Linked DNA regions of Arabidopsis thaliana. The protein of the gene in region 3 interacts with the protein of the main gene of each other region in a pairwise test. Each region holds a gene or a part of one and is shown on either strand. Other genes may lie near its edges. The genes, in order: AT1G14340, MLO15 and PEN3.

Evidence for each region.
Region 1: the proteins of PEN3 (region 3) and AT1G14340 interact in a two-hybrid assay, tested with the Arabidopsis thaliana proteins (one large-scale study listed by BioGRID).
Region 2: the proteins of PEN3 (region 3) and MLO15 interact in a protein complementation assay, tested with the Arabidopsis thaliana proteins (one large-scale study listed by BioGRID).

The regions. Positions count from the first base shown.
Region 1 is NC_003070.9:4,893,581-4,902,764, reverse strand, and holds AT1G14340 (RNA-binding (RRM/RBD/RNP motifs) family protein), read right to left. Parts: upstream 5,420-9,184; 5' UTR 5,315-5,419; intron 5,071-5,314; 5' UTR 5,057-5,070; coding exon 4,938-5,056; intron 4,847-4,937; coding exon 4,771-4,846; intron 4,686-4,770; coding exon 4,572-4,685; intron 4,415-4,571; coding exon 3,989-4,414; 3' UTR 3,730-3,988; downstream 1-3,729. Other genes in the region: AT1G14345 (NAD(P)-linked oxidoreductase superfamily protein), read right to left, coding at 2,999-3,589.
Region 2 is NC_003071.7:18,241,794-18,252,763, reverse strand, and holds MLO15 (Seven transmembrane MLO family protein), read left to right. Parts: upstream 1-4,304; 5' UTR 4,305-4,447; coding exon 4,448-4,564; intron 4,565-4,671; coding exon 4,672-4,729; intron 4,730-4,817; coding exon 4,818-5,038; intron 5,039-5,163; coding exon 5,164-5,280; intron 5,281-5,459; coding exon 5,460-5,520; coding exon of another isoform or gene 5,521-5,525; intron 5,526-5,618; coding exon 5,619-5,713; intron 5,714-5,817; coding exon 5,818-5,892; intron 5,893-5,984; coding exon 5,985-6,073; intron 6,074-6,153; coding exon 6,154-6,203; intron 6,204-6,306; coding exon 6,307-6,347; intron 6,348-6,430; coding exon 6,431-6,640; intron 6,641-6,738; coding exon 6,739-6,806; intron 6,807-6,882; coding exon 6,883-6,943; intron 6,944-7,044; coding exon 7,045-7,275; 3' UTR 7,276-7,407; downstream 7,408-10,970. Other genes in the region: AT2G44120 (Ribosomal protein L30/L7 family protein), read left to right, coding at 2,347-2,535, 2,639-2,736, 2,820-2,877, 3,053-3,132, 3,219-3,537; GDI1 (guanosine nucleotide diphosphate dissociation inhibitor 1), read right to left, coding at 7,900-7,953, 8,045-8,119, 8,202-8,412, 8,658-8,782, 8,955-9,056, 9,174-9,236, 9,337-9,417, 9,527-9,638 and 5 more.
Region 3 is NC_003074.8:18,577,152-18,589,145, reverse strand, and holds PEN3 (PTEN 3), read left to right. Parts: upstream 1-4,332; 5' UTR 4,333-4,734; intron 4,735-5,156; 5' UTR 5,157-5,216; coding exon 5,217-5,792; intron 5,793-6,035; coding exon 6,036-6,137; intron 6,138-6,231; coding exon 6,232-6,288; intron 6,289-6,468; coding exon 6,469-6,534; intron 6,535-6,675; coding exon 6,676-6,852; intron 6,853-6,947; coding exon 6,948-7,034; intron 7,035-7,119; coding exon 7,120-7,184; intron 7,185-7,273; coding exon 7,274-7,350; intron 7,351-7,426; coding exon 7,427-7,473; intron 7,474-7,575; coding exon 7,576-7,706; intron 7,707-7,781; coding exon 7,782-7,851; intron 7,852-7,925; coding exon 7,926-8,369; 3' UTR 8,370-8,537; downstream 8,538-11,994. Other genes in the region: AT3G50130 (transmembrane protein, putative (DUF247)), read left to right, coding at 1-35; AT3G50123 (uncharacterized protein), read right to left, coding at 1,029-1,172; AT3G50120 (transmembrane protein, putative (DUF247)), read left to right, coding at 1,900-2,540, 2,623-3,152, 3,565-3,989; SDN1 (small RNA degrading nuclease 1), read right to left, coding at 8,552-8,647, 8,734-8,835, 8,920-9,027, 9,099-9,230, 9,327-9,427, 9,514-9,583, 9,670-9,786, 9,883-10,026 and 4 more; AT3G50090 (Exonuclease family protein), read right to left, coding at 11,810-11,872, 11,974-11,994. UniProt on the Arabidopsis thaliana protein: Protein tyrosine phosphatase that also exhibits a weak lipid phosphatase activity towards PtdIns(3)P.

The DNA.
Region 1 (9,184 bases), on a different chromosome or scaffold from region 3:
TACCATTTCATCTCTACTTATATAGGAATTCGAACTCACTCAATGCATGATAACTTTAGAGGATTAAACCATTTTAAGTCAATTAATTTTGTCACGTAGAAAACATATATACTTAAAATTTCTAGACTTTTACTTAAAATAACAGTAGAAAAGATACTTAAAATTTCTAAGACTCTTACTTAAAATTATAGTAGAGAACAAAATTTAGATCATATTTTATAATGCAATGTATATCTTTTGACCATCATCCTATTCTAACAAAAAAAAAATATTTTATATAGATATGTACACTTTTATATACTATAGTACAATTAGGCCGTGCCCGTGGATTTCGGTTTCATGCGGCTCTCGTATCATCACTAAGTTGCCTTTTATCTTTTATTCGCCACATCGTATAGTATGGACTCATTTTATATAACAAAAGTCGATTCATTTGGTTTAAGGGCTCAGCTCCCATACCTCTTGGGTTCTAGACTTCTTCTAGTCAAGGCAGAGGAGGAGAGGGGAAGACGATAAATATGATATTTTCCAAAATGAAGGCTCCATAATATCTGAATTTTAACGAACATTTTATATCTTAAATACAGTATATTGACAGTTCCGAAACATATAGAGTAATATAGACAACAACAAAAAGGTTAGTTTTTAGAAAAAAAATTGGATCAAAATATACACACACCTCAAATTAATCCAGAAAACACGCACTACTATTTTTTATTTTTTCCGGCATTTAAAATATAAACGTTTAGTAGAGGTTAACTTGCTTGGGATTCCTACAATCGCATGGGGCCTCACTCATATTGGAGCCAGCTTTACTTCTTCTTTTAAAATACTTCCTCCTATACCTACAAGGCTACAACGAAAAGCTCTTATATAGTCTCAGGAATCCGATGTCCATTTTAATTTTAGTTAGTCCTCCGTTATCATTCGATTAAGGTGCCCTTGATCATCAGATTTTCCTTGTATATATTATATACACTAACCTTTCTATTTTTAGTTTGGCTTTATACTAAGGTTTCTTATCTTTTAGATATGATCACTCTAATTTCTTTTCATTGCTTTATATATATACTGTTTTGTTAAAGTTAGCATATATATGGATTATCCTTCTGAAATTATTCAAAATGATCTACCAGCAGAATTTTTCAGTTTATCTGTTATATGAGGAAACAATGGGAGGGTGTAAGAAAGACATTCTTGCACAATTTAAGGATGCGTGTTAGCCTGACATTTGACAAAACTTCTACTATGCGCCGCCCTTTTTCTATTTATTTTAAAATTAAAAAGACTGACCAAATTCAGAATTAACCACTTTCCTTTTTGAGATAAAGTTAATAGTATATTATAAGGTTTTTGCTTTATATATAGATTCTAAGTTATCCGAAGAATTCAGCTGATATTGGATATTGATCCCATATTGTATTTTGGATTTCTCGTGAATACGCCATTTTAGAGGTATGTATGTGTACGTATTCAATACGCGTACTTGTTTACCATGTAGACATGAACTTTTACAGATGCGCACAGCGCACGGACATGTAAGTGCACATATGTGCCAATCAGCCCATTCTGCCCATGCATGTGAAACAATGTGACATAAAGCTTGGGAACAAAGAGAGAAATATGAATTCTGCAAAATGTTCCTTTTTAATTGAAAGTTGCTGGTGGATAGTGAGCCATCTATCTTTACGGTGTATATTTATGCTTTATATGCAACTTCTATGAACTCACATTGCGAAACCAACTTCTAACACTATATTTTGGAGATAATGTATTCATATTTCGGATGTTTCTCTAAAAATAGTGCATCATTGGAGTGGAGATATAAAAACTATGGGTGTTATTGGTTATATTTGTTAGAGTAAAATAAAATATTACTCTAGATTCGCCTATGATTCACAGAAAAAGGAAAAAAAAAGGTTTGAGCTGAAAGTGTCGAAAACTTTATAATTTTTTCCGCTACAAAACAATTAGAGAAAATGGACAGAAATAATTACGCCAAAATCTATTTTTATTTTACTCCCACATCTTTTTGCTTTCACCATATCACACCCTATATGTGATTAGAAAACGTATAGGATAAACAATGAAAGAAGACAACGGGGTATGATAAACAAAGAATAAAAACAAGAATAATATGGTCAAAATTGGGAAATGGGGAAGACTACATAAGATTTGATGAGAATGTGTCAGAGGCAGAAGCTTTAATAAGACTCCCTATACATACTCATCAACCTTCTCTTACGAAATTCTCTACTAATATTTTTTTAACAAATTTTAGTGGAATCCAATGGAGATTATTAGATTAATATGGTCAAATTTAACAGATAGGACCATATGTAGTTCTTATTAATTAGTCTTTGAACTACTAGAATTAAAGTACTAACAAAGGAAGCTATTGAATATGTAATCCCATTTCTTGTATTTGAATCCGTTATCCCATAAAAAACGTAATCATATTTTCATATGCGAGTATAGAAATTAATGTGGGCACATTATTCAAATTATACATTTTCGTTTGCCCATTTGTATAAACTTGATAGTTTTTACTTTTTAGAGATTAATTTGCTTATGATGAATCTTGGTTATTAGAAAAGTAGAAATAAATAAACGTGTATATAAATTAAAGATAATTGACGCTATTTTGAACTTGAATAATTAATAAATAACTTTGGGCTGTTTTTTTTTTAATCCAAACTTTGGGCTGTTAATCCTCTATATTCTTAAAATGCAGCCATATGAATAAAAAAGAAGAAGATAGTATTAATATCCATGCCATTTCTCTAATCTAAAAGAGGACTACCTGCCGTTTCAACATTAACCAAACATCACGCCGTTTCTTATTGTAGAGCTAAAATCGCGCGCCGTTTAGATACGATCGTCTTAACAATACAGAGATGAAGAAATCAATAACAAATGAAAGAACATGGAAAGGATTCGATTTGTACTGAAGAAATCACAACAAGAAGAATCAATTTTGCCCAGAAATGAGAAATAATCAAAAGCCTTTAGCACCAGATTCTTTCAAAACAGCAGGTTGATCAGCCATAGATAAACAGTACTTAGCAATCTCTCTGAACTTAGGGACACTTCTCAAATCCACTTTAGTTCCATCTTTCAAAGTAATGATGATATCTCCCCATTCTCCGATGAACCTCGGCACAACTTGAACGTCTTTTATCACTTTGTACGAGAAATCGCTCCGATCATCTCCGGTGAGTCCCGAAATAACCGTCACGCGGAGGTTAGTGAACCTGTAACGAAGGTTAAAAGCTCGAGACACTGCAGCTAAGGTTAGTGGGAGCCAAAGGATGGTTAGACCTAGAATGAGATTGGCTAATAGATCTCCGTAATGAGCTCCGCCGTCGAAGTAGACTGTTTCTTTCTTCGCCGGTTTGGAATCGGAAGGAACGGTGGATGCGGATGCGGAGGAGGAAGCTAGGAGCAATCTTTGAATGTGTCTTTGTGGTAGTTTCGTGGAGGGAGACAATGAAGAAGCGGGGAAGGAGAAGGTGGTTGAGAGGAGGAGAGATTTGCGAACGACGGAGGTTACGGCGGTTGACGGCGGAATTGAGGAAGAAGCTGCCATGAGAGAATGATTTGAGTGACTGGAAGATTTGGAGTGAAAAGATGATGACTTCTCTGTTTTTTGGATTTGATTTTTTGGCGCAAATTGTGCCACGTGGCCTAAGCTCTATGGATACAACATCTATCCAAATATTGAATCAATATCAACCATAGAATGATATAAATCAGAAATTATATAAGAAAAAAGATTATGCTACTAATGAAGAGTTAAGATGTAGGTAATGTAACCAAACTCTATATCAGCATCATCATGTGAGAGTATACTTTGATAGATTTCTATATGGTATTCGTTTTGATAAAATTTGGTCTTATCACACTTCATGAGCCAGTTATTCATGATCAGCTTTGCATCATATATATTCACAGACGAATACGGTTCTGAATCGGGCCATTGGTCTATTCACTGCCTTGAGCCGCGGGTACCGAGATCAGATGCGGCTTTAGCAGCTCTCTCTAATGCACCAGACAGCCAAAGAGCTCCGCTGGAGAAGTAACTGCTATTGACAACACTAGTTGCAGCTGCTGCCGCGGTTCTTCCTGTGGCAAAGACAGCTGATTTAGCTGTATCTGAAACATGATACCTTTGGTCAGTCATTCTAACAGCTTCAAGTCCGGTAAAGATTTTGTCAGTAAGACCAATCCTCTGTTCTAGTTGAGATACTCTAGCCACCGCTGCAGCTGATACGCCGTGGGATTCATCAAAGGCTTTAGCTTTGCTTAAAGCGTCTTTGCCTAGCACGAATCCTGTGGCAAGCATTATTTTCACCACTTCTTGAGCTTTTGTCACTGCTTCTCCAGCGTTGAACTCGCTTCGTTGAGCATAATGCTACATGATTGAAGAACGAATAAGCTTTAGAATTGAGACCAAGCATCAAACTTCAACATAAAGACTACTGAACCAGTGACCGTTAGATTTAACTATTTTAACAAAAAAAGAAGACAGAAAGATCAAAGTTGAGAGAAGTGTCAAAAGCGATACATACTTGTGAGTCCGATTCATCTTCAAAACCTCGCGAAGTCGCATTCCAGAAATCGAACTCTTCGTGATGTTGTCCCCAACGAGTTATACAAACACGCTGATCCAATATCGTTGCGCCCTGAAGATATCAAAGAAGTGAGTGATTTCTCAAGAGACATCCAAAAAAGATAGAAAGAGTGAATCAAATCCAAACTAACACTTACAGTGAGTAAAACAGCAGTTTCTTGAGAATAAGAATCCTTAAACATCACATAAGCAGTACAAGCTTGCTCACCCGACCTAGTCTCATTAACAACATTACAAAGTGTACTCTTTTGAATCCAGAATAAGCAAACAAACAACAAACTTGCTAAAAAGTAAAAAGACTCACCTGACAATATCAATATCTTGGATAGTACCAGAGAAAGAGAAGAAATCGATAAGATCATTATGAGTAACAGATGGAGATAACCCAGTAACTTCAACACCATATCCAAATTGATGATCCATCTCTGCTCAATAAGCTAAAAACAAAACAAAAAACCTAAAAATTTCAACATATCCTAAGTCAATAAATTAAATTACTTCCAGTTCGTGATTCAACTTTGGGAACTACATAGAACTTTCCGATTTAGCTTTACATGATTTGGGATTGAAATTTTCAAGCGAAATTTGAGCAAGGACAGATTGCCAAATATGTTCAGACCTAAATCGTTGATTCACTAAGCTCTAGAGAAGAAATTTAAGGAATCGAAGAATAGAAGTTACCTGTTGTAGTTGTTGTTGACCAACGGAGATCACACACAGAGAAGCTTGAAAGAGAGACAAAGGTGATGAATTGATGAAGTTGATGATGTGAGTGGGAAAGAGAAGGACTACCTTTTCAGTGAACGAAAAAGACGCAATTTTAAAAAGCTAAAAACTGCGCCGTTTAGTAACTCAATGTTGGGCCTTTAATGTCTTGAGTTAGCCCATATCGTTAACGGTTCTAAATGTAATAAAAAATTCTACATGAAAGGCCCAATGTTGTTTGATTATTTTCCAGTCTCAAACAACCCATAATCACAAATATTTTTTGAAACATAAATTTTCATCTTATGCTATTTTTTATTTTAAAAATCAGTCTTTACATATTAAAATTAAATCATTAATCATTACTAAGTGTTTGTACAAGAAGCAAAAATTAACAATCTATAGACGATTTTGTTTTTTTTCAGCAACGATTTTAACATTCTAGAACCTTTTTTATACCTTAGTATTGCATGTATATATAAAAATTGGAGTAATTTTAGATATTATCTGTCTAACCGTCCAAAGTCCAAACAGGTAAAAGTTCTCTAAGTGATAACTTTTTAAAATCTCTAAAGAGACAAATTTGACAAGTGTATGTGATATAAATACTTATGTTACTGTTAATACATGAGAGAAATTCAACGGAAAAGAAAGTTAGACCATTTTCATTGGGGGTTTTTTATAAGAGTTTCTCACAATTAAAAAATAAAAATAATAAAAATGAAGGAGAGAGAGTAGAAAGTTTCTTACTTGAGAAACTCTGAGATATTCTCTACAATCCATCATGATAATTCCCTTTTAATTATTGATTCAACTTTTTAATAAAAATATTTTTTTAATCAAAAAATCAAATTATAATATAATATTAATTTTTTTTTGTTTGAGAAACTTTGTGGGTTTTTCATGGATGGAGATGCCCTTAACTAAAAAGGAGAAAAAGAAAAGACGTGTGCCTAACAAATGTTTGATGTAATTGGTAAAAAAACGCAAAGAACATTATTATTATTAATATTCTTTGCATATGAGCCGTTGGCCAAATCAATACTTACGTCTCTCTTTCTCCATCTCTCATTGTCTCTTTCTACTTCTTTCCACGGCCACGTCCGTCTGTCAAAATTTACTAGTTTTTAATTCAGATTGATCTAGTCAGAATCTACTTTTTTTTTATGTGTGTGGTTCATGTTTCTATATTCTGACCCCTGCTGCAGTGAATTGCTATTTATGTATTTTTCATGCAAAACCAAAATTCACTGCTGGAAATGTATATTTTTCATATATGTAAACACCAGATAGTTTAATTTTGTTTTTTCACTTGTCTACCAAAATTAGAACTTTTATTAAACAACAACAATAAGGTGCTTGCGACTATAGCTTTAGAAGTTCAAGTATATGGATTATGGAACTTCTAAAAATTGCGACTATATATAAGCAAAAAACATATATTTAAGAAAAAAATAAATGTTCTAAATTACAGGAAATAGTTGAATATTGGTCCTCCAAATACAATTATCTTCACCATATATGATTATAACAATAAAATATAAAAGGTTGACCATTGACTAATGTATATATTCTATAGCTAGGTTAGACGTTTTGATTCGGATTTTGAATTTCATAGTGAAAGATTTTGATATTGAGTTGACGTCAATTCGGAGATCTACAACAAGACTACAACGTGTTTTATCAAACTCACCTGTTTTTCTTAAATCATAATTTTCTTTGTCTTTAATTGACTCGATTAGTCGATTCAAATATCACATTCCAAGTTGATATCTCCCAATTTTCCTCTATTGTTAATAGAGTTTGTTTATTGTTATTATATTATTTGTATCTAGTAAGCTTTTTTCATATGTGATTCTTAATAAGTGTCTTCTAAGATTAGTCGATGATAATCTTTGTCATTGTTCCACAAATCATAAATTATAAGCGTCAAACCTGAAACAATTTCTTTTGTGTGGTAGAATTCTGGAGTTCTGAACCTTTTTGTTCTACACATTTTTCCATATCCACCGAAAACTAAAACGGCCGAAACCAGAACAAACAATTCTTAGATGTTAATCATGTATTGTTTACTCTTCGTATTTGCCTGATGGTCAGCATTAACCAATACTTCAACTTGCAATTATGACCAAAAGAAACACAAAATGTTTTCATACGATCCCATTAAAGTGAATGTATTTAAGATATTTATCATAATGTGTTGTTTATATACCATATATTATGTTATATTATCCATAGACAGCAAAATTTAGAAGACTAGATATAAGATGTGATAAGTTAGTTACATTCAAATCTATGTAATCTTGAGTTTACGAAGAGCACGTGTTGAAATTCGACGTTGACTTGAATGACAAGGCATTGCCAAAAGAGAAGAAAAGAAGAAGTAAAGGTATTAGGAGCCACCACGTTATCTCCTTACGACGGATAATTCAAAACAATTAGCTGGTATAACAGCTATTCAAATACACACACAAAAAATCTTTTTCGATATTTTTTGTAATGAGAAGAAAATATTGTAATGTGCTGCAACTTGCAACTTGTAATGATCAATTTTCAACCTAATACTTTTGTTGGCAATTTTGTCTTTTTCCTCAGTTGTGAATACAGATGTAGCCTGGGCTTTCACGCGTCGGATAATGGCTCGTAAAGTAATGTAACTCACATGAGAAGGTATATCAACTACTCGAAAATAAATACAAACAAAATTTTGGGGATTCTCTTTAGCAATCTTATACCCATTCTTATGTAACACAATACTCAGATTCTTAATAACACTTTCACATATATAAATTAGGAATGTAGTCATCAATTAAGACACTTAATATAAGAGAGATTAATGTGGAAAGAAAAGGAATGTGAACACACAATACAAACAGATCACGTGGACAGCTCTTAGGACTTCACTTTCAGACACAAGTCACTAATAAGATACGCCAAAAAAAAACAGTCACCTATTCGATAATTTTAGAAGAAAATTCGAAAGCAAAAATAAATAAATTTATATTTAACCTTTCTCCAACCAATATTCATTTTGTTTTTGTGGTCAAAAGTCAAAACCAATATTCATTGAAAACGAAAAGATAATGAAACTTTACCATATGAAAATACAAACAGCTCTGTAGAATATATATATATTTTTATTAATTAAGGGTAACTGCATTTCTGCTGAGATAGTATTAGATAAATATCGTTGAAAGGTAACGGAATTTTAAATTCATAGTTATTGACCTTTGACTCCAAAAATCTTATCAAACTTGGAAACTTTGATAGAACAATACGTCACAAACATTATCGAAATTCAGTAAATACAAAATGGTTATTATTAACACCACAATGTCTCAAAGATTAAATTTGTAATTTATTTATAAAGTAGTACATAAAATATGGATCTTAGACCTCTTCTATACGATGTCAACTTCAACGATTTTTTTTTTTTTTTCATTTTCATTGCACCTTGAATTACTTATGAAAAGGTTTCACGAGCTTGGATAATAGTCAAAATACCGTGTTAACTGTTAACGATACCATACATCTCGCCTTAAGAAGATAAAGCAAAAACTAAATAAAAAGATAGATATAACAAAATAAGAGAAAAAACACAGTTTAGAAAGATAGATATGCAAATGATTTGATTAGATTACTCACAAATTCTAACGACTGATAAAGCTCTTTTCTACCGTCCAAATAATGTTTAAAGATGGCCTTCACACGTGGCAATTAATGAGTGGATTACAGCTGCCAAGATGCAACTCGCAATATAATAATCCTTTAGTTGCACGCTAAAATCTTTCGGCGCGACTTAAGCTTCGATGATTTATCAAAATTCTAATCAATGCGTGAAATATG
Region 2 (10,970 bases), on a different chromosome or scaffold from region 3:
ATAATATGGAGTAATAAGGAATGAGTCGTATTCACTGACGCAACCGTCAACCGATAAGTAAACATCTCGTGAACTGTTTCTCCCTAATTTACTACAATTTAAAACAGGTATATTAATATGTATGATGGACATTTTCATTTCATATTGGCATGTGCACGCACTATCAAACAAATTCTTTCACGAATAGTCCATATGTATAGATTCTTTATGTTTTGCCAAAAAATTTGTGCTTAGTTGTTATAAGTTGTAAGATATCATCATGTGTTTTTAATTTTGTAATACGTATTATTTTACGTAGAAAATTGCGAGGGCAGTTTCGTTTGAATATAAGATTCATCAATAATATTATGATTGATTATAACTTTATAAAGGTTTCTACTTTATTATAGTCTTCTAGAAGAAGTTCTCATGGATATACATTGGCATTAACTATCCTTGGGTCTTACTCTTCGATTATTCAACATATTATATTAAAACGTTGACACGTCTATTCTGCGATGCACCGACGTAAAGGTATGTCTCGCGGACTTCCAGCCTCACACAAGTCATCTCGTCTCCACCGGATAATTAATGATGCTTTCTGTTGTTTTACTTTGGGGTTATTTATGAATCTACGCTTACTATTTGTGCCGTTATTTAAAACATGTTTCAAGGGAAGAAGATTAATTTGGGTGTTAGCGCACGATATGAACATAGATAGACAAGAAGAAAAATGAAAGTCGGGGATAAGAAGGAAAATAATAAGAATGGGGTCGAACATTAATAGGGGGCTGGTCCATTACACTCTATCCCATTTTCCCCACATTGTCTGTTCTTGTTTCGTCAATTGTCCTTTCTTTGATTACTCTCTACTTATGTATTTTCTCTCTATCAGCTTTTCTAGCTTTATTCATCACCAATTATTGTCGTGTGTCAAGAAAAAGTAACGTAGAGTTTCTTTGAATAGTAGTAGTAGTTTCGCATATAAACGAGTACTTTCGATTCATTTTCATTCCTAAATGGTAATATTGGCTATCAATAGGTCGCGTTAGTCAAAGAAACAATGGATACATCTTTTGAAACTTTTTGCTCGACAAGAAAAAAGCAACTATAATGTCATTTAGTTTTGTTTTATTTCCCTTAAATGGATTATGGATCAATGGATGATGTAGTACTGTTAACAGATTCTATTGATGAATTTCACGACTATCGCAAGACGAATTTGAAATCATCACGAAACTGAAGTTGTTGTTTTTTTTTTCTTTTCAACGAAGGTTGATTGATTTACGACTACGATGAAGTGGATTGGTTTCTAATTAATTATTCCTGAAAATGAAACCAAAGATATAATACAACTATTACTAAATGAAAAGAAGAAAAATAGAGATAAGGGTTCTAGAAGATAGGCATTGATATTTGTTTTCCCTTTTGGGGAGTTTGTCATCTTTATGGGGGAGGAAACAAGTGGGCCGAAACTGGCAAGCACTTATCCTCTTGGCTTTAGTCTTCTTCTTTACGGTTACTAAAGTTTTTCTCTTTCTTTTCTTCTAGAAGACCATATTGACATTTTTTTTTGTATCTCTAGAGTAATAGCACTAAATATAAACCTAACTTTTGATGTTAGTCTAAGACAATAAGACATACGAAGCTTTAAAACTCTATTGTTTTGAATGATCACAATGTCACATATCAATACTTATATTCGATCTAGAAGATTTGGAAGAGTATAGATTTAATTTGTTGGTTTATGAAAAGAAAAACAGTATTGGTGGAAGAAAGTATTCAGAAGGGCAAAATCGATGACATGTAGATGTAGATGGACAAGGCCTGAGTATGTATATGTCATTTAAAACCAAGCCCAATTTAAGTTAAATAAATAGGCCCACTTTGGAAAAATGACTGCTGACTAAAAAATTAGGGTTACGAAATAAACCCTAAACCCAGTTTCGACTTTGTTTGTTTTGTCCTCCTTCTACGCCGCACACTATCTCTTCCTCTCTCTCAGACGAGATTTCCTCTTCATCTCAAGTAAGCTTCTCTCTTTGATCTTCTTCGTTTAGTTTAGTTTTTAATCGTAAGTTTTCTTTTGATTCATTATAATTTGTTTGTTCTGATGTTTGTGAGATCGATAAACCCAGTTGTTCTAGTTCTATTGTAGAGAAATTCACTTTGATTTTAGATTTAGAATCGTTGCATTGAGTTTTCCGATCTTCTATAATTGCTCCTTTTCATTTTGCTGTTTGGTTTTAAACATTGTCGTTGATGTTCCTGCCTTGCTTCTCTGTGATTAACAATCTGTTCAATTTCTCAAAGGTGTCTTTTTTATTTGATTAGTATAGCTTATTTTTGGTTTGTTTATGGCATGCTATGTATGTAGGAGAAATGGCTGAATCCAAGGTAGTGGTTCCAGAGTCTGTGCTAAAGAAGATCAAGAGGCAAGAGGAATGGGCATTGGCCAAGAAAGATGAAGCTGTAGCTGCTAAGAAGAAGAGTGTTGAGGCCCGCAAGCTTATCTTCAAGAGAGCTGAGCAGTATGCCAAAGAATACGCTGAGAAGGTAATAAAGCAACACTCTTTTGTTCATCTTTGCTGACTAAGATGACTGTTCTGTTCATGGTTGTTGTAATGAATCATGATATATTATTTGCATGCTTGTTTAGGATAACGAGTTGATCCGATTGAAGCGGGAGGCTAAGTTGAAAGGAGGTTTCTACGTTGACCCTGAGGCTAAGTTGCTCTTTATCATTCGTATCCGTGGGTATGTGCCTATTATTTGTGTGTTACATAAGTTGTTGCATATAGATTCTGTTTTTTATTTACGTGATTGTTTGTCATTTGCAGTATCAATGCCATTGACCCAAAAACCAAGAAGATTCTGCAGCTCCTGCGTTTGAGACAGGTAGGTTTCACAGTTTGTTATTTTCATCCAGCTATATTAGCCTAACATATGATTATTGATTAATATTTGTTATATGTTCAAACTAATATGTGATAGTTGCCTGTTCATCATTTTTAAAAGAGAGTAGAAGACTATTGCGTTGTCAAGAAGTTTACTTTCGTATACATTTGTGCAGATCTTCAATGGTGTGTTTCTTAAGGTGAACAAGGCAACAGTAAACATGCTGCGCCGAGTTGAACCATACGTGACTTACGGGTATGCAATCTGATTCTCTCTCTTTCAATAGGATTATGTAAACTAAACTATATGCTGCTCTAAACCGAATGATATATCTGGTGCAGATACCCAAACTTGAAGAGCGTTAAGGAACTGATCTACAAAAGAGGTTATGGAAAGCTGAACCACCAGAGGATAGCACTTACTGACAACTCCATTGTGGATCAGGCTCTCGGAAAGCATGGGATCATCTGCGTTGAGGATCTCATCCACGAGATCATGACTGTTGGACCTCACTTCAAGGAAGCCAACAACTTCCTGTGGCCATTCCAATTGAAGGCACCACTCGGTGGCCTTAAGAAGAAGAGAAACCACTACGTCGAAGGTGGTGATGCTGGAAACAGGGAGAATTTCATCAACGAGCTTGTCAGGAGAATGAATTGATGAAAGCTTCCTTCTTTATCTTTGCAAATTTCAAAGATTTTGGGACCGAGTTTTTTTTTTTTTGTTCAAGTTATCAGAGACTTGTGATCTTTTATCCGAGATAGGCTTTTTATGACTAATCATGTTATTTTCCAATGGCGGGCTTTTAAATTGATCTTGAATTTTTATTGGCTGTTAGATTGTTCCTTCGAAGCCCACCAATCCATTAGAAATATCTGGTTTTGACCGGTTGATTAAATAATTCCGGTCGAGCTGTATCAAAGATAGAATGCTCTTAACCGGAATCGTTGACTTCAAGAGTACAAGCTGTTCTCCATTTTTTTAAAGAGATTATATCGGTTGTGCGAAATTGTCCAAATTTTGTTTTTATAGATTGACCGATCAAATATTGTAGCGGTTAATTCGTTAAAATAAAACGTTTGATCAGTTACATTTGATTAATTCAATATCAAGTCAAAATTTTATCTTGTTAAAGGAAAAAGAAAAAATATTGGGTTTAGACCTTTGACAAAGGAAAAAAATGGGGACTTAAAGAGTCTAATTAGACCTCAATTAACAACTCTTGGTGGCTCTATAACATTAGTAATTTCTATTTAGGTTGTACATTGTAACTATCCAAAACTCTAAATAAAGAAAATTACAAAACATAGAGGGGACAAACACACACTGACACCGCATACATTACACATTATATAATGTGCATGAATACAACCTACACTTTCTAGTAAAGAAATGAAAATGAATATAACCTACAAATTTTAATATTTAAAGACACGTTCTAAAGAATAAGATCGCCGGTTTAAAACAATTACCTGGTCATCATTTTGGATTAAACTCATTAGGCATTCATTATATAATTGCACCAAACAAGAAGGGGATCAAGAAAATCACGAATCACCGGAGCAAAAAAATGGCGGGAGGAGGAACGACCTTAGAGTACACACCAACTTGGGTGGTTGCTCTCGTCTGCTCCGTCATTGTCTCTATCTCTTTTGCCGTCGAGCGTCTCATTCACCGTGCCGGAAAGGTTATATATTACATATTGGCTCCTTGTGTTTATTTTATATGTATGCATAATTCATTTAGACGTTGTAGACTAAATGACTATTATGGATCTATGCATGAGGAATATAGCACTTTAAGAACAACGATCAGAAGCAGCTTTTTGGGGCATTACAAAAGATCAAAGAAGGTGACTTCATGTTTTTGTTGATAAAAAAAAAGATCCATCATGTGATGATATCATTTGTTCTAATAGGATTCTTAAAATTTGGAAACAGAACTCATGCTAGTAGGGTTCATATCGTTGCTATTATCGGTCGGCCAGTCTAAAATCGCAAAGATTTGCATATCAAAGGAGTTAAGTGAAAAGTTTCTCCCTTGTACGAAACCTGCAGGGGCTGAGAAGTCCCTTAAAGACTCCTCCCATTTCCAGTTCAGCTTCACCGGCCGTCATCTCCTCGCCGGAGATGCCCCCGCCGGTGACTACTGCTCCCTAAAGGTATTCTTATCTTTGCAAATCTTTTTTTGACTTACACGTTTTATTTGAAGACGTGCGTAGAATTAACATAAATTTGTCTATAATATGATATCTTTTTTGAATCTTTTTGTTTGTTTTAAATTCAGGGAAAAGTACCAATAATGTCATTATCAGCTCTGCACGAGCTTCATATATTCATCTTCGTATTAGCTGTTGCCCACATTATTTTCTGCCTCTTAACCATTGTTTTTGGTACCATGAAGGTATTTTCTTAATTACACCTTACTTAACAATAAATCTTTTTTTTAATCTTTATTAGTTACGAGATATCACGAACAAATATAAGCTAGTGATAATCCTAAACTCTAAAACCGGACAACTTCTATTCGCAGAATAAGTTTTTTATTGTGTCTAATGATTATAACAAAATGTTATGGCATAGATAAAGCAATGGAAAAAATGGGAGGATAAGGTTTTAGAGAAGGACTTCGACACAGACCAAAGTATAGTACAAAATCTTGTTTCAGGATCTTGAGAACTTTTCATTAATTATAGTCATTTGTAACGTTAACAAGTCTTATATATACACATATCTACACAGTGATCCAGAAGAAATTCACACACGTTCAAGAACACGAATTCATCAGGTCACGATTTCTTGGGGTTGGAAAAGCTGATGCTTCCTTGGGATGGGTGGTGAGTGTTTTTGTTTTCTCACAACTTATCTTACTTGTAATTAAAGACATGTTTGTATGTGTATATGCAAGTTTTTGAGTGATATGTGTTCTTTTCCTTTGCAGCAATCGTTTATGAAACAGTTTCTTGCGTCAGTCAATGAATCAGATTACATCACAATGAGGCTAGGCTTTGTCACGGTATATATCTTGGATTTTTGATTCGTCCTTTGCTTTGTGTTTATCTCTACTATAATGTCTAAAAACAACTTTTTCTATTTGATCTTTATAAGACTCATTGCAAGACCAACCCAAAATTCAATTTCCATAAGTATTTAATGCGTGCCCTTAATTCTGATTTCAAGAAAGTCGTCGGTATCAGGTAAATAATTTATAGTTTTTCCAAAAACCAATGCAACATAGTGTTCTTGATTCTATTCTAATGTATATATCAAATTGCAGTTGGTACCTTTGGGTATTTGTGGTTCTCTTCTTGCTTCTAAACATTGTTGGTGAGATACTGAGATGACATCTTTTAACTTTGATCCAATACAAAGTTTTCTTCTCTTCTTTCTTTTTTCGGTTGAATGATCATCGACTCGATATTTCTTGCAGCATGGCATGTTTACTTCTGGCTAGCTTTTATTCCTTTGATCGTAAGTCCCTGAAAACCTTCTCAAAGCATGTCTATGCTTCAAACCTATCTAAATCAACTCTTTTTACGCGGTTTTCTCCTCAGCTTTTACTTGCCGTGGGGACGAAGTTAGAGCATATCATCACAGATTTGGCTCATGAAGTTGCAGAGAAACACATTGCTGTGGAAGGAGATTTGGTTGTCCGACCATCAGATGATTTGTTCTGGTTTCAAAGTCCCCGGCTAGTTCTCTTCTTGATCCATTTCATTCTTTTCCAAAACTCCTTCGAAATCGCCTACTTCTTCTTTATCCTTGTAAGTACTCTTTACCATTAATCGATCTAAACCAATAATCTAGAAGATATCAAGATACGTACAGAGAAAAGTGAAAACTCATGCAATTGTAACAACAGTTTCAATTTGGTTGGGATTCATGCATCATGGATCATGTCAAGTTCGTAATTCCAAGACTCGTCATCGGGTAATAATAGCCAAAGCTACTTAATATCGATCTTGTTATGAGCTTCTTGATCTTGAAATGTGAAATATTTTTGCAGGGTAATAATTCAGCTTCTCTGCAGTTACAGTACCTTACCGCTCTATGCACTCGTAACTCAGGTACAGATTCTACATCTCTTAGTCAATTTTCTTGTGTTCTTATATCAAACTAGACCAAGACACAAACTCAAAACCAAACCTTCTAATTTTTTGGTGAAAAGATGGGAAGTTCATTCAAAGGTGCAATATTCAACGAGCAGACACAGGAACATCTTGTTGGATGGGCAAAAATGGCTAAAAGGGGAGTGAAGAAAGGCGCAACACAAGTAGGTACCAGTCATGATGCTACTAGTCCAAGACCGTCTATTCAGTTGAACTCCTTGCTAGGAAAAGGCTCCTCTCAACAAAATCAGAACCCCAAGGAAAAATCAGAGATTGCTCACCATGATTAACAAACAAAAACTTGTTCTGACATTTTTTTTGTTGTTGTGATTTTTGATTTTTTGAACTTGTTCGACTTTGTTTGGTATATATAACTGATTGAAAGGCGTTGTAACAAATAAACACAGCAAAGATGCTGAATCTGTCTGCCAGTTTGATCAAACAAGATATGTGATTTCTACAGAGCCGTTTATAATGCTCAATTTTGTGTTCGTTTATATGATTTTAAACTGACATGTGAAGAAAAACAATCTATGTCGGTTTGAAGAACAAAATAATGGTTTGTGTGTATTACCAGTCATTTAATATGCTTAGTTTAGTTTTGCTATGCATTTACTATTCAACTTGTTAAGCAACGACTCTCTACGAAACGATTGAGACGATAATTGTTCAAACGGAAGAGCATGATGATATATTAGACACTCCAAACAAAAACCACGAAATCCAACATTTTAGTTTTTTGAGAAGAAAAAAACAGACTGCGATAACCGGGAATAGGTACGCATGATGAGATCGGTTTGATTTAGTATTTTAACAGAACATTTGGTGAGACAACTTTTAAGAAGAGGGAGAAAGAGAACCGGTTACATCATTTGGTGACTAACAGAGAGAGACAGAGCTTGCAATATTTTCCATCATTCCTCCTCTGCAGCACTAGCTGCGTTAAGATCCACACTTAGATCCAGTTCCTGCAACACAAAACAATGATCACTCCCCAATTACAGAATATGTCGCCGTCAATTAATAAAAACCGATATATTTGTGATTCTAGAACATTACCTTTCCGGTGATCAATTTATACATGTTCAACACATCAACAACAGTTGTGTCAAAGTGTGTTGTAGCATCATAACTCTGTTCAGGACATGAACAAAAAAGGTTATTAGAAACCAGCCAACTTTAAGATGCTCACTAAAAAAGGGGTAGAGAAACTAACCGTTGATATGAAGCAGTTGTCCAAAGTGGGTTCGTTGACAGGCTCATATCTATCATAGATGTCGAAGAACAGCTCATCAACAGGACCAAGAAGGTCGATTCCAGGCTGGAGCTCGGTTTGAGGGTTATCAGTTTCAGCGTCTGTTGACACAAATGCTATGAACTTTCCCTTGGGAGCAACGTTGTGTGAATATGAACAACAGAAGACATACCTGTCAGTTACAATAAAGATGTAATCATGAGCCGAGAAACAAATATATCAATCGACTCAATGTTACACACTGCCAAGTTTTATAGAGTGTATGTGTTGTAATCAAGAAATAATATAGTTGAGAAGAGTGTGTAGCAAGGAAGGTATCTCAGCAAGCTCAAGAGAATAATTCAGACAAAGATTAGCTAACACATTATTCAAACACATTTACATAAGTGAAACCAAAGGATGAATAAGAGAACTCACATGTCTGATTTGCGGCCCAATTGTTTTTGGGGTAGAATGACTTGCACCGACTGAGAATCATTGGTGTTTGGAATAGGGTGGCTCATAATGGCAATCGCCCGAGCAACCCTGCCAATCTTCCTGACCTGTTTGAATTGGATTATAAAACATTTTAAAATAATGTTAACATACAGGCTCACATTGTTAAAATTGCCTAAAAGGCTCACATTCATAACAACAGACCATAAAACAGAGATGAGAGATATATGCATGCAACAAAGCTAATGTTACTGTAGGATATCCGGTCACAGCCATTACCTTGTTGGTTAGGTAAGAAGGATCGCAGACAACTTTCTTGCATTTGGCAGTCTCTCCCTCAGATGTAACACCAGAAACCTTACCCTCCTCGTCAAACTCTACCTGTTATAAAAGCAATATTAGGTTATCAGATCTAGCATCCATATAGTTAACGACAGAAAAAGTTGCAGAAACGACCGAAACAAAAAAGCCACAAAGATAAGGAAGTCAAAGACGCACCTTGCACTCAGGTTTGTTCAACATATACGTCCCACCATAGACAGCACTAAGTCGTGCAAATGCCTGAGCCAAGGAAGATAAGAGAGAATTTAGAAACTATAGTCCAAAACGCCAGAATAGTTGCACCAACCAAATAAAGCAATGTACAAAAGAAGAAAAAAACCTGAGGCAATTCTCCCAACCCATAGAGAGGATAGATATATGGTGAACCTCCTTGAAAACGTGCAAGGGACTCTGCGTAGAGCTGATAAAACATTTAAAGCAACAGAGTCAAACATGAAATACTGAGAGCAAAAAAGAAGACTTCGAAAACAAGGGGATCCACACTTTAAAGTCCCATGAGAGCAATTCACCTTCATTCTCATTACAGTATCATAGGCAGGTTGATGGAGATGATTGTCATTACAGTGAAGTGCCACTGCATGACCAATAAAGTCAATAGTATCTTCTTTAAGACCGAATTTCCTGCCAAAGTGTTAAATTGATAGTTAGCAGCAGATAGTCTAAAACAAATATTGACAACACCATAATGCAAAAGACAAGAGAACATCAGCTTACGCAATCAAATCCTTAGTTGTAACTCTCCTCAAATCCATTCCATCATGTGTTTTTGGGTCCTTCTCGTCGTATTCTTGAACATAGCTGAAAAACTTTCCAGCTCGACGTTTCTCAAAAATACCCATAAGAGGAGATTTGAGGGCCTCCATGGGAGTTGCTGGCACTTTTTGGACCTGTAGCATATAAACAGTTAATATAACTAGAAAAAAATTACTTAAGCTGCAAAGCTAGAATGATCAGTGAAAAGCTTTTGACCAAGATCAAACATGGGAGAAAAAAAGATGCACAAACAGACTTGAAATCTATGGAAAAAAAAGAGAATGAGGCACAAGATAAAAATGAAAATGAGTAATCAATGTACCTTGCCTTGGACAAAAACATAGCTTCCATCAACAGCTTTAAAAGACAAGTACTTGGTCACATCCGTATGAATAAGGACACGAACAAGCTTTCCGTTAGCCATCATAAACTGGTGCGCCACATTGACAGAGAACAGTTAGTAATTCATATTGGTAACAAGGAAGCTAGATAAGCTGGAAAGTAGCTAATATTGATAACCTTTGGCATCATGTCAACATTGTAGTCTCTGCTAGAACCTAAATGAGCAGGAGCCTTCTCTTCTCCCCTGAACTTCTTCCACAGCTGTTTAAAACAAAGCAACATTCAATAACTCTCGCTGATTATAACTTACCACAAAAAGTCTTCATATATATTTAACAAAAATATTGACCTGATTGAGATTAAGAGAAGTTGACTCTCCACCGTAGTAGTCATTCCTGTCCATGTGAAGTACCTAATTGGAATATAGATGAAATTAGTAGACCATTAGATTACTTATAAAAAGAAGTAAACTTGGCGACAAAGTCAGCTAATCAATCACATAGAAGATATAGGAGTGGAGATGATGAAAATTTAGTCTTTTTACGCAATCTCAATAACTAACTAAATGCATTAAATTCAGATCATTGTCAAAATCGCGAAGCCAATTGATTCTCATGTTGAAGCTCACAAAGCAACCAGCTTTAAATCACACAATCGGAGATAATAATCTCAACTAGATCCGTTGTTCATCATGTAAGTAACGAATTAAGAGTATTGAAAATCTCCAGATCAAGCATGGATTCAAAAAGAGAGAGAGAGACCTTAAGACCATCGACGGAGAGAAGACCACTAAGGATGCACTCCTTGAGACCAGTACCCAGAACTATGACTTCGTACTCTTCATCCATAGTTGCTGAT
Region 3 (11,994 bases):
TTACTGCTTATCCTTATTTTAACCCACCTTCTTGATTTTCATTATTATTCAGTAGTTTCCTTCATTAAACTTGGAATGTTTGTAACTTTTTTTCGAGCATTTTTGTTTATTTTATTTTCTATTGTATTGCAAAAATAAAATCAGAAACTAAAATTAAAATTTTCCAGCATTTTTATTTAATCTTATTTTTGATTGTTCACATGTCTTGAATCTGATCATGACAAGGTGTCTGTGGTAGCATGAAAGTATCGCTGTGACTCGGTAGGTCTAGGGGGGACGATGCCATATATATATTAACAGTTAGCTTCATAGGAGGTGAGACACTGAGACAGGTCAGAACAAATATAGATTACGTCGATAAAACGATATCGTCCCAAGAGACATTTTTGCCGTCGTCACAACCAAACTAGTTTACCATCGATGCTTAAACTTGTAATTGCATTTCTACACTAGTTTAGCACTATATGGTTACCAAATAGTTATATTAAGTTGTACACCTCTTTAAAATTTCTTTTGATTCACCAGTACGTCTCCAGCCAATGATGTGGTATGTTCAGATTTGAATATGTTATCGGAAATTAAGACTACAACAATGTTCCAAAACATTAATGAGAATGACCATTGTCTATTGACGGATATTCCAAAGTTTGACTCACTTTCCAAGATGACGAAAAATCTCCATAACACTCGATGTATTAAGACTAAAGAGTCTAGATAGTCAATTTCACTTTTGTCGAATGTACTACAGTAATTTAAATAAAATCATATAAAGGTTTGATTGGGTGCAATCAAAGAAAGAAAAACAAGAGGAATAAAACAGTAAAAAATGGGAAGTGATCACTAGAGGAAATATTTTCCACATTTCTAACCTAAAGAAAAAGTTTCTTCTCATTTCACTTTTGTGTTTTGGGTTTTCCATGGAATAAGAAGGAAACATTTTTTTACCTTTTTCTTACAGTTGATAAAATTAATGTGAAAACCTTTTCTACTATTCTCTTTTACATCATAGATTAGTCTTCGGCCACACCCTAGAGTTTGGCTAATGAAAATAAGCACAAAAAAAACTGTGACCCGTCAACCAATATAGATTCAAAGTTTGTTGAGCAATCATCATCCATACGAGAAATGGTGAGGTCGTGCCATGTTCCACACACTAGCTGTGTAGTGTACATGTTCCGTTATGCTCTCACTATATTTTTATTTTCTATTTTTCTTATTAATAATTGTTGCTCGAGATATAAGAAAAATACCATAATGCACCAAATACCCCATAGAATATCAATAACAACGATGAAATGTGAATTTCAAGATGTGACACAAAGAGCAAAAAGGAAAAAAGGGAGAAGAAAAAAACCACTAAAGAAGAGATTTTATTTTGTGCTTTTATCGTTTAAAATTGCCCAAATTCGACAAGACAAATAATCTTATCTTGTCCAACGACTCTCATATTCCCCATACGAGCGTTTCTAGTATGGTTGCGCAATGACCTTACCCTTCTTTGATGCGTTAAGGATTCGTACTCAAACCAAAACGAAAGGGTATATCAAAATTCTATTATCTATGGATAATGGTCGGATATATGGTAAATTATAGAACACAAATGCATATTTTCTATTCTATGTTACCCTTTTAAGCCGCACGATTCCAAATTAATTTGTATATTTTAGTAGTTAAAATAATTAGGTAAGATATATAAACTTTTAGTTGTTACTTTTTTCTTCAAAGATATTAATATGTGTGTGTGTGTGTTTATAAATATCTAATTATGGTTGTTGTCATTACAGATCAGTTGGGTCCATAAGTACAATAAGTAACCAATTATATCTTCAAATCATTCACATATACTTCCTTCTCTCTCACTCCCTCATTTTCTTAAAAAAGCTTCAAGCAACAAAAAAAATGGTGGCTGTCTTCTACAAAGACATGTTGAGCTGGTACTTACTCACCCTTAAGATCCGCGAAAAACTCGAAACACAAAACCAAGAATCCGTATTGGTTAATCAAGATCAAAACCTCCCCGGTTTACCCGAAATCACCAGATCCGATCAAGATCAAAACATTCATAACAACCAGCAAACTCAATCCGATCCCGCTATCTACGTAATCAAAGAGAGTCCAAAAGATTCACGAGACGATTGGGTGATCTCGATCACAGACAAGCTCGAACAAGCACATAGAGATGATGACACAACACTCTGGGGTAAGCTCTGTATCTACAGAGTTCCATATTACCTTCAAGAAAACGACAACAAATCGTATTTCCCTCAGACAGTCTCGCTTGGTCCGTACCATCATGGTAAGAAACGGCTCCGGTCTATGGACCGTCACAAATGGCGTGCTGTCAATAGAGTCTTGAAACGTACGAACCAAGGCATTAAAATGTATATCGACGCCATGAGAGAGCTAGAGGAAAAGGCTCGAGCTTGTTACGAAGGTCCCTTAAGTTTGAGTAGTAACGAATTTATCGAAATGCTAGTTCTTGATGGTTGTTTTGTGCTTGAGCTCTTTAGAGGAGCCGTTGAAGGATTCACTGAACTCGGGTAAGCCTGATTTTTTCAATATCTGGTTATTTCCGGTTCTCTCAAATAATTGTTAAACCGGTCACAATAATGTTTTGTGTAGATATGCACGTAACGATCCAGTTTTCGCGATGAGAGGATCGATGCATTCGATTCAACGTGACATGGTAATGCTTGAAAATCAACTTCCTTTATTTGTTCTAAACCGGTTATTAGAGTTACAGCTTGGTACACGGAACCAAACCGGTTTGGTGGCACAATTAGCAATTCGGTTCTTTGATCCACTAATGCCAACGGACGAGCCGTTGACTAAATCTGGCCAGTCAAAACTCGAGAACTCACTGGCAAGAGATAAATCCTTTGACCCATTCGCTGATATGGGTGAACTGCATTGTCTAGATGTTTTCCGTCGTAGTTTGTTACGGTCTAGTCCTAAACCGGAGCCGAGGTTAACAAGAAAGAGATGGTCTCGAAACACGCGTGTGGCGGACAAGCGCCGGCAACAATTGATACATTGTGTGACGGAACTAAAAGAGGCTGGTATAAAATTCAGAAGAAGGAAAACCGACCGGTTTTGGGATATGCAATTCAAAAACGGTTATCTAGAAATACCGAGGCTACTTATCCATGACGGTACGTTCACGTTTTTCACATTTTTCTTCTTTTTAACACATGCCCCATATGTTTACAATTTATTTTTCTTTTGTTTGAGTAAAATGTTACAGTTTTTTTTTCTTATCCATCACCTTTTTAATTCATCAAATCCATATAAATTGATATTTTCTCGTTTGTATTGGTTTATATGGATTGACAAAGAATATATTAGTAGGAATCATGATGTATTGATGTGGTATGTTGCATAAAAATGCTACTTTGGAATATAAGAAATGTCATCAATTGACTAATTCAGAATGATCTAAGCAATGGAAAAGAGTATGTGTTTTCAGATTGGCAAAAAGTTTAGATAATGAAACAAATACATTTTCTCAACAAAACAACTAAATGTTTATAATAAGTAAAGCCATCCTCGTATGTTTTTTTGTAGGTACCAAATCTCTTTTTCTGAATCTTATAGCTTTTGAGCAGTGTCATATCGATTCGAGCAATGATATAACATCCTACATAATCTTCATGGACAATCTAATAGATTCTCACGAAGATGTTAGCTACTTACACTACTGTGGTATCATCGAACATTGGCTAGGGAGCGATTCTGAAGTCGCGGATTTGTTCAACCGTTTATGTCAAGAAGTTGTATTCGACACCGAAGATAGCTATTTATCTAGGTTATCGATTGAGGTTAATCGTTACTACGATCATAAGTGGAATGCTTGGAGGGCTACGTTGAAACATAAGTACTTCAATAATCCATGGGCAATTGTTTCTTTCTGTGCTGCGGTTATTCTACTAGTCCTCACTTTCTCTCAAAGTTTTTACGCTGTTTACGCTTATTATAAGCCACCTTCTTAACCTTATAACTTGTTTTTCAAAGCATTTTTTTGTGTGTTATATTATACATATGTACTAGATTTTAACTTGTGGTATACCGCGGGACGATTTATTTTTAAAAGTAATATATATTAAAACTTGTAAATTTTATTAAAATAATAAATTAAAGATTTAATCCATATTGAAATTAAATTAAATTAATTAAAATTTAGATATCAAATCTTATATGTTGATTTTGATTGGCTATTATTTTTGAAAATTAATAATGTATTTCGTTTTTTAATTAATTTAATTAATTAAATTAGTATTTGACTTTTTAATCCTTAAATACATAAATTAATTTACTCTTTAAAATTTTATTTCTAATGGCATCCCTATGTAATTACTTACAAAAATTAAGATTACATTTAAAATGTATTTCCCAAATTATATAGTAGGATATGTAGATCGTTTGTGATTACATTGACACGTCACGCACTTACGCCCACTGGATTACCAAAACTGGGCCTTTTCGATATCTATAAGGCCCAGACCAACTAGGATTCAACATAATGTGACCATATAGGCCCAATGAACGAAACACAAAATTCTGACCGGCAAGAGCGGGGGATGATAAAACGGGAATTGATCGTTAATCTCCGCACGTTCATCGGAAATTTCGTACGCTGCTGCTCTGAATCAGAATCAGCTCCAATCTTCTTCCTCCTCCATTGAATCTCTTTTCGCTACGGAAAAAAACTCGAAGCTTATCGTCCTGCATTCTCCGGTAATCAATGTCTACTCTCTCGTTTTTTTTCTTTTTCTTTCGCGGCCGATGCTTTGTCGAATTTGGAAGCCTTGTTTCATTTTTGATCTGCCTCTGCTAGATGATGCACTTGATTTTCTGATTTGAGAGATCTAGTTCCATTGAATTTGGCGTTGAGAGAGATGTGGAAATGAATGCGACCTTTGGATTATAGCAATGTGCACTAGTACGGTCTTAGATTCCTTATCCTCCGAAGCAATTTTGCGTATTCAGTGCTATTTTCAGATGATTATAGAAGCGAATTTAGCCAAAACCTTTAGCTGGATATTGCTTATGTATAATGTGGGAATTTGGAGTCGTTTCTGTATATTCTGCTAAGTGTTTGATTAAATGAGAAACTGGACTCAATACTCAAACGTGAAATTGACTTTTTTTTTTTTTAGGTTTTCGTTTTCTCGTAAAGTAAGGCTCATCGTTGTCTGAGCTAGCGTTGGATTGCTAAAATGGAAACTGATCCTGCTAACTCTTCATCGAAGTCTCCAGCTGTAGTATCTGAGAAAGATGTATTGATTCCTGAACCTTCTGAAAATACTGTGGGCGTTGTACAAGATCCTGTGAGCGCTGAAAGAGAAGCTCATGAAGACTCTATTAGTACAGAAGCTTCTGTTGCAAAGGTTGATGATACTCAAATGCCTGCTAGTTCTACCGGCTCTGAACCTTTAAGTAAAACAGATGATATAGTTCCATGCCCACCAGGTTCCTCCCCACGCGAATCACCGCCGTCTATATTTTCTTCTTCTGGTCTTTCTTCTTGGGCCAAAAGTTTTAAATTCCAGCAGCAAGATCCAAATCGTACAGATTCTGGGATGTCAGCTTTCACAAGATTCACCTCTGAACTTGGTCTGCATTTGCCAACGAAAGGGTCTGAGGAGGTTGGTGATTCTAGATCATCAAACACACAAGTTGGTGGTGCTTTTGAGTCCCTCACAAAAGCTGTGGTTGATTCATCTCGTGGTGCCGTTAAAGCAATGCAGGTGAAAGCACGCCACATTGTCTCTCAGAACAAAAGAAGATACCAGGTATGGTAATGCTGTCTTTCTGCTTTTGTTAGATTCTTTGAAACTGAGGCACCTTATAGTCACAACAGCTTGTTGCAGCACACTACCCTATTGTAGTGAATGGGCCAAAACTAGCAGTTGTTTATTTTTATGAGCTTTCCCTGCTGTCTAGTGTAATGCATCGATTAGATTATAGTATATATGTATGCCCTGATCAGTACCACTTACATCTCTGCTTTACATGGCACCTGGTGCAATCTTCAGGAGGGGGAATTCGATTTGGACATGACATATATAACTGAGAATATAATCGCAATGGGGTTCCCAGCTGGTGACATAAGCTCTGGTCTTTTCGGATTTTTCGAGGTAAATAGCTTGGTCTGGTTTGAAATATAAGTTCCCCAGCCAGTTCTTTTCTTCTCTTAGTCTTGAGTTTCTCATTGACAAATGTCATATTCAGGGACTATATCGTAATCACATGGAAGAGGTGATAAAGTTTTTTGAAACTCATCATAAGGTAACCATTGGCACTGACTGGAAGCCTCTTAAAGAGTTTTTGACAACTCACTAATTCTCATAAGATTCACACCAGTTGGATTTGATAAGACACTGCAGCCCAGACATGTAGTGGTTACTTGGTTTATGTTTGATCATATTGGTACATACCAGAACTCTAAACCTTGCCCCCGATATGCAGGATAAATATAAGGTCTACAACCTTTGTTCAGAGAGATTGTACGATGCTTCAAGATTTGAGGGGAAGGTATATACAAACTCTAGCACTTGATATCTCAGACCATATATCTTGCAGGCAGTTTCTGTGGTTGTCATTGTTTTTAAAGCTAGTGTTTATAGACCTCTTACAGTGTTTGCTTCATCGCTTGTCTGATTTCCTTTTCTTCAGGTTGCATCTTTCCCATTTGATGATCATAATTGTCCTCCTATCCAATTGATACCATCGTTTTGTCAAAGTGCATACACATGGCTGAAGGAAGATATCCAAAATGTAGTGGTAGTTCATTGTAAAGCTGGAATGGCAAGAACCGGATTAATGATTTGCTGTCTTCTTCTATATCTCAAGGTGACACTTCTTAAATGAAACAAAGTCTTGGCTGATGCACGCATTCCTCCTCTGTAAGACTCTTGTGACAGATCTTACTGGTAACTCCATTGCAGTTCTTTCCTACAGCTGAAGAGGCTATTGATTACTATAACCAAAAGAGATGTCTTGATGGGAAAGCTCTTGTTCTCCCAAGTCAGATTGTAAGTTCTGAGCTCACACCAATCTTTTAATGTGCTTATTCGATTCTCCCTCATCCTATTAAACAAGCTTTCCTGTTTCCTTCAGCGATATGTCAAGTACTACGAACGTGTTCAAAACCAATTTGACGGGAAAGTTCCACCCGAGCGAAGGTATGCTTTAGACATATCTGACCAATCAGGTAGTACGATTTGTGGTTGATATTCATATATCCCTAACCAGAGAATAAACATTTATGTAGATGCATGCTCAGAGGATTTCGCCTAATCAACTGCCCTTACTGGATTAGACCTGCCATTACGATCTCCAACCACACTGGTACAAAGCTAGTTTCTTCTCATCTTTTGAATATTCGCATACGTTTGAAAAATGCTCATTTTCTTCTATTGAACAGATATACTTTTCTCAACAAAGAAACATCAGAAAACCAAGGATTTGGGGGTAGGCATTGTTCTCCTTGGTTCTTCTCTCTCTCTCTCTCTTTCATCTGGTGTTATAACCGCAACTCGTCTTGACGTATAAACTTGTGTTTGTGGGTTATAGCCTGAAGATTTTTGGATAAAGGCACCCAAAAAGGGAGTGGTTGTCTTTGCAATACCTGGTGAAGCTGGTCTAACAGAATTAGCCGGCGACTTCAAAATCCACTTTCAAGATAGCGATGGAGATTTCTACTGGTAAACTCTCTTCTTCCTTCACAGACATCTTCCAAATCGACAAATTCACTAACTTTTACTGTTTTCTGCACGCAGTTGGCTAAATACTACACTGACTGATAACAGAACAATGCTGAAAGGCAGTGACTTTGATGGCTTTGACAAGGTAAAAGAAATTTTCATAGCCTTATAAGATCTAAGAAACAAACCTGGTTGCTTCATCCCTGGCGGTTTTTGCAGAGAAAACTGCCTGCACCGGGTTTCCATGTCGAGATCGTAATGATAGAACCCGACAATTCACAACCAACAAAGTCCAAATCTGATTCCACCCAACAACAATCTCAAAGCAGCTCCAGTGCTGATTCCAGCAAACTTAAGTCTAATGAGAAAGACGACGATGTATTCTCTGACAGTGATGGGGAAGAGGAAGGAAACTCTCAGTCTTATTCAACTAACGAGAAAACCGCAAGCTCAATGCACACAACTAGTAAACCTCATCAGATCAATGAGCCACCAAAGAGAGATGACCCTTCCGCAAACAGAAGTGTCACAAGTTCATCGTCCTCGGGTCATTATAATCCAATACCAAACAACTCATTAGCAGTTAGTGATATCAAAGCTATTGCTGCAGATGCATCGGTCTTCTCCTTTGGAGATGAGGAAGAAGACTATGAAAGCGACTGATCATGAAGACTCAGATTTTATCACACTTATCATACACACACAAGTATATTGTCTCTGTTTCCCATTATAAAAGAAACAATTGCAAATTATAAAAAAAAAAACTAGTCATTGAATTTTGCCATTGATTGTTCAAATATCTGAAAAAACAATTCATTGAATAGTTAATCTAATCCTAGGTTGCATCATTCATCTTGAACCATTTTACGGACATATATACTAGCTCTTGATCCTGAACTCAGCTTAATGATGACCACTTTTTGTGGCAAACCCAATGAATCCTAAAAAAAAAAACATAACACACAAACTTATTTCACTATCGATCAAGATAGTTGCGGATCCAAAAGCAGAGATACTAAAATTATACCGTCATTTCGATTCCATCAATGTGTTCAAATGCTTGATCTGCGTCTTCTGAACTATGGAAAAGAGCAAATGCACAATAGTAACGTCCCTGTGTTTTTGCTTGCTGCCAAAAGAAAAATAGCTGAGGTCAGAGAAAGGTTCTATGTTCGAGAGACTTAGAGAAAGTACATGGTTTTGATTTCTCAACCTTCACATCAAGTGTAAACTTTCCAGAAAGAACTTGCTCAAGCTCTTCAGATGGCACATTGTTAGGGATTTTATGTAGAAAGAGTTTTGCTTTCTCAACCTCCAACATCTATGGTAAAAATGCAGACATTTGTTATTGTTGGAATTTATGATAAAACTGCATGTTTGGTAATTTCAAACCTCTTTAGATGGTTTGATTGTTGTGTCAACTCTTTTCTCTACAACAGCAAGTGCAAGTTTCATCGCAGCTGATGCGTCATGTACACAATCATGAGGAACACCGGTCTTTCGGACTTCGTAACCCAAAATAGACTGGGAAAACCATTTCAACAAATGAAAAAAAGTATTGAAAATGTTATCTTTTTGTGATGTTCATCTCAAGAGTAGAGAAACACGTAATAGACTTACCTTGCAAAGGTTGTTAAGTGAAGGTCTTCTGAGCTTTCGTGTATTCGGATACTTGAATACAAGTGCGGTATCGATTACTTTAGGATGATCTATCTTTAACACTGGCATCAAAATATGAAAATAACCATAAACTTGTTAGCGAAAAACTTACAATTACAAAATCCTCTACTGGAAACTTTATGCTTACCTTCCAAATCTCTGTTTAAACTGTGACCAACCAAAATCGTACCCGTAGAAAGAAAGGGCTGCAAAGTTTCCTGCACATTTTTCACAAAGTTAACAACATAACAACTATACGTTTCTGCTGTGAAGATAAAACCAATAGAAAGACTCTACATGGTACCTGTATATCTACCACAGAGAGACTAGCATTTTCGATATCTTCAGCAGTAATCCCTGTAATGTCTGTCCTATAGTCAACAACAGGTTTGTTCGGTTTCACAAACTCGTCAAGAATCACCTAAAGCCATTCAACATTTGATAACCCTCGTCAAGAAAGCAGGTCCATTGCGAAAAGACGAATCACTAAAGCATAAAGATTCTCTCTAAGCTATACCTTTAAATCACGGTCTACAACACCAACTCTAACTAAACCCTCAGTCCCATCTTCACAAAGAACCATCTCACAATCAACAGCTACCATGTTAGTTGATTCCATCACCTTTTTCATCTTCATTCCAACATCGGATACAAACCAGTCCTGCTTAAGCAATTCAACAACTCTTAAACAACCGCATAAAACACGTAACAAGAACTCATTGTTTAGGAGAAGGAAACAAAACCTCTGAGTATGGCTTGAAAGAATAGTCTAACGAGTAACTCGGATGCTCAACTGTCAATCTAACTAGCATCTGTATTGCCAAACAACAACATCTTAAACCTCACTGCAAACATATTCCTATCAAAGAACGAGATATAACAAAAGCATCTCCCACCTGCTCAGGAGTGTCTTCATCTTGGGATTCTTGCTTCAAATTTTCAATCAGAAGATGATTGGCGTGACATTTCAGAAGCTTAGCAGCAAAAAAGAACAAAACTTTAGTGGCCAAAGATTACAATCACATTGTGTATTTCTTCAGTTTCACTTACTTGCAAATCTTCTTTCTTCTTAAAAGTTGTCAGAAACTGAACCAAATCTTCATGAGAACGCCTCGAAGGATCACTTGGTGAATCAGCATTTTTGTCGTAAACATGTAAAAATTCCTTCCAGTTTCCATTTTCGCCACGCAAATCTCGACTCTGCAATAGCTTCACCAACTCGTCAAGCACCTATTTTAACGGAATGGTTAGTTACAGAGAAGCTAATTCGACTCCACAAAAGTGGGAATTTTGCCCTGAGAAATTAAAGAAAGAAAGAAAGAAAGAAAGAGACGAACTTGTTTCTCGGCGGTGGCTAGTTTAAGCTCCATAGTACGGAAACAATGGCGGCTCAACGAGTTTTTCTATTTTATTTTATTAGCTGGGAGTGAATTTGGCATAAACTGTTTGGGGAAGAAGAAACAGAGTTTAGGGTTATATTCTCAAAATATATAATTAACTGGATTATATTTTATTCTTAGGGGTTTTTTTATATATAATTTTAACTATATTGTATGCTTAAATTGTGACATCTTTGACTTCAATGTAGTAACATCTTTACCATTATTTTAAGAGGAATTATTTAAAATTTGCTTAGAACATCTCTCCCATTTCTTCATAAACATTTTTTATTTTCAATATGGAGTTATGGAGTTGAGTTTTTTCCCAACAAACTGGAGATTTCAAATTTTAGTGTAAATTTGAAAAAAGAAATCTCCAAATATGAAGAAAAAATATTAAGATCTCTAAGTTAGAAAGGGAGATGGATTGGAGCGAATAAAAATGTAGTGGAAATAGAAATTTAATTTTAGTCATATTGTTGTATTAAACCTGATCTGAGGTTCCATCGTCATTTTTTTCTTTCGCTAAATTGTAAATATTTTATAGATAATTAAAACAGTTTAGGTTACAAACATAGAATTTGAAAATATAGATCCATGGAAAAAAAAGAGGTTACATCATCATCGTAAACCATTTTATGGACTTAAAAATAAACTTCATAACTTAGACGCCAAAAGACAATGTGTTTCTGTGACAGCCCAAATGAATCCTGCAGAAAAGCAAAACATAACGCAACAACTTCTTATAGCATAGTTGACTCTGTTTGCTACCTCTATTGAGAGAACCTTTATTGACTCTGTTTCAATTACATTTAAATGATGATGTTCACAAAGATTTTTTTTATTCGATTTGTGTTCTAATACTGTAATTGTGTATATTTTGCCAATGATTTGTATCAAAAACAAATGTCAAACAAAATACCAAAAATTAAGGATAGAAAAAAAAAAACTTAGCTTAGATTTATTAATCAATGTTTAAACAGATTCAGAAATGCCAACATTATTAAAAAGCAAATTTAAAAGAAGATTTCAAGCCTTCAACCAAACCCACCCATCTTAAGCCATTTAACGGACATAAAATGTAGATATTGAACAAGAAATGAGTTTCTGTGGCAGCCCCGATGAATCCTGAAAACCAAACACAAAAAAAAAAAAAAAAAAAAAAGTTATTTCATCACTTTTAATTATTATTGGACCATTTCAAAACAAATCAAAAGATTCTATAATACCGTCTCTTTGTATCCATTAAC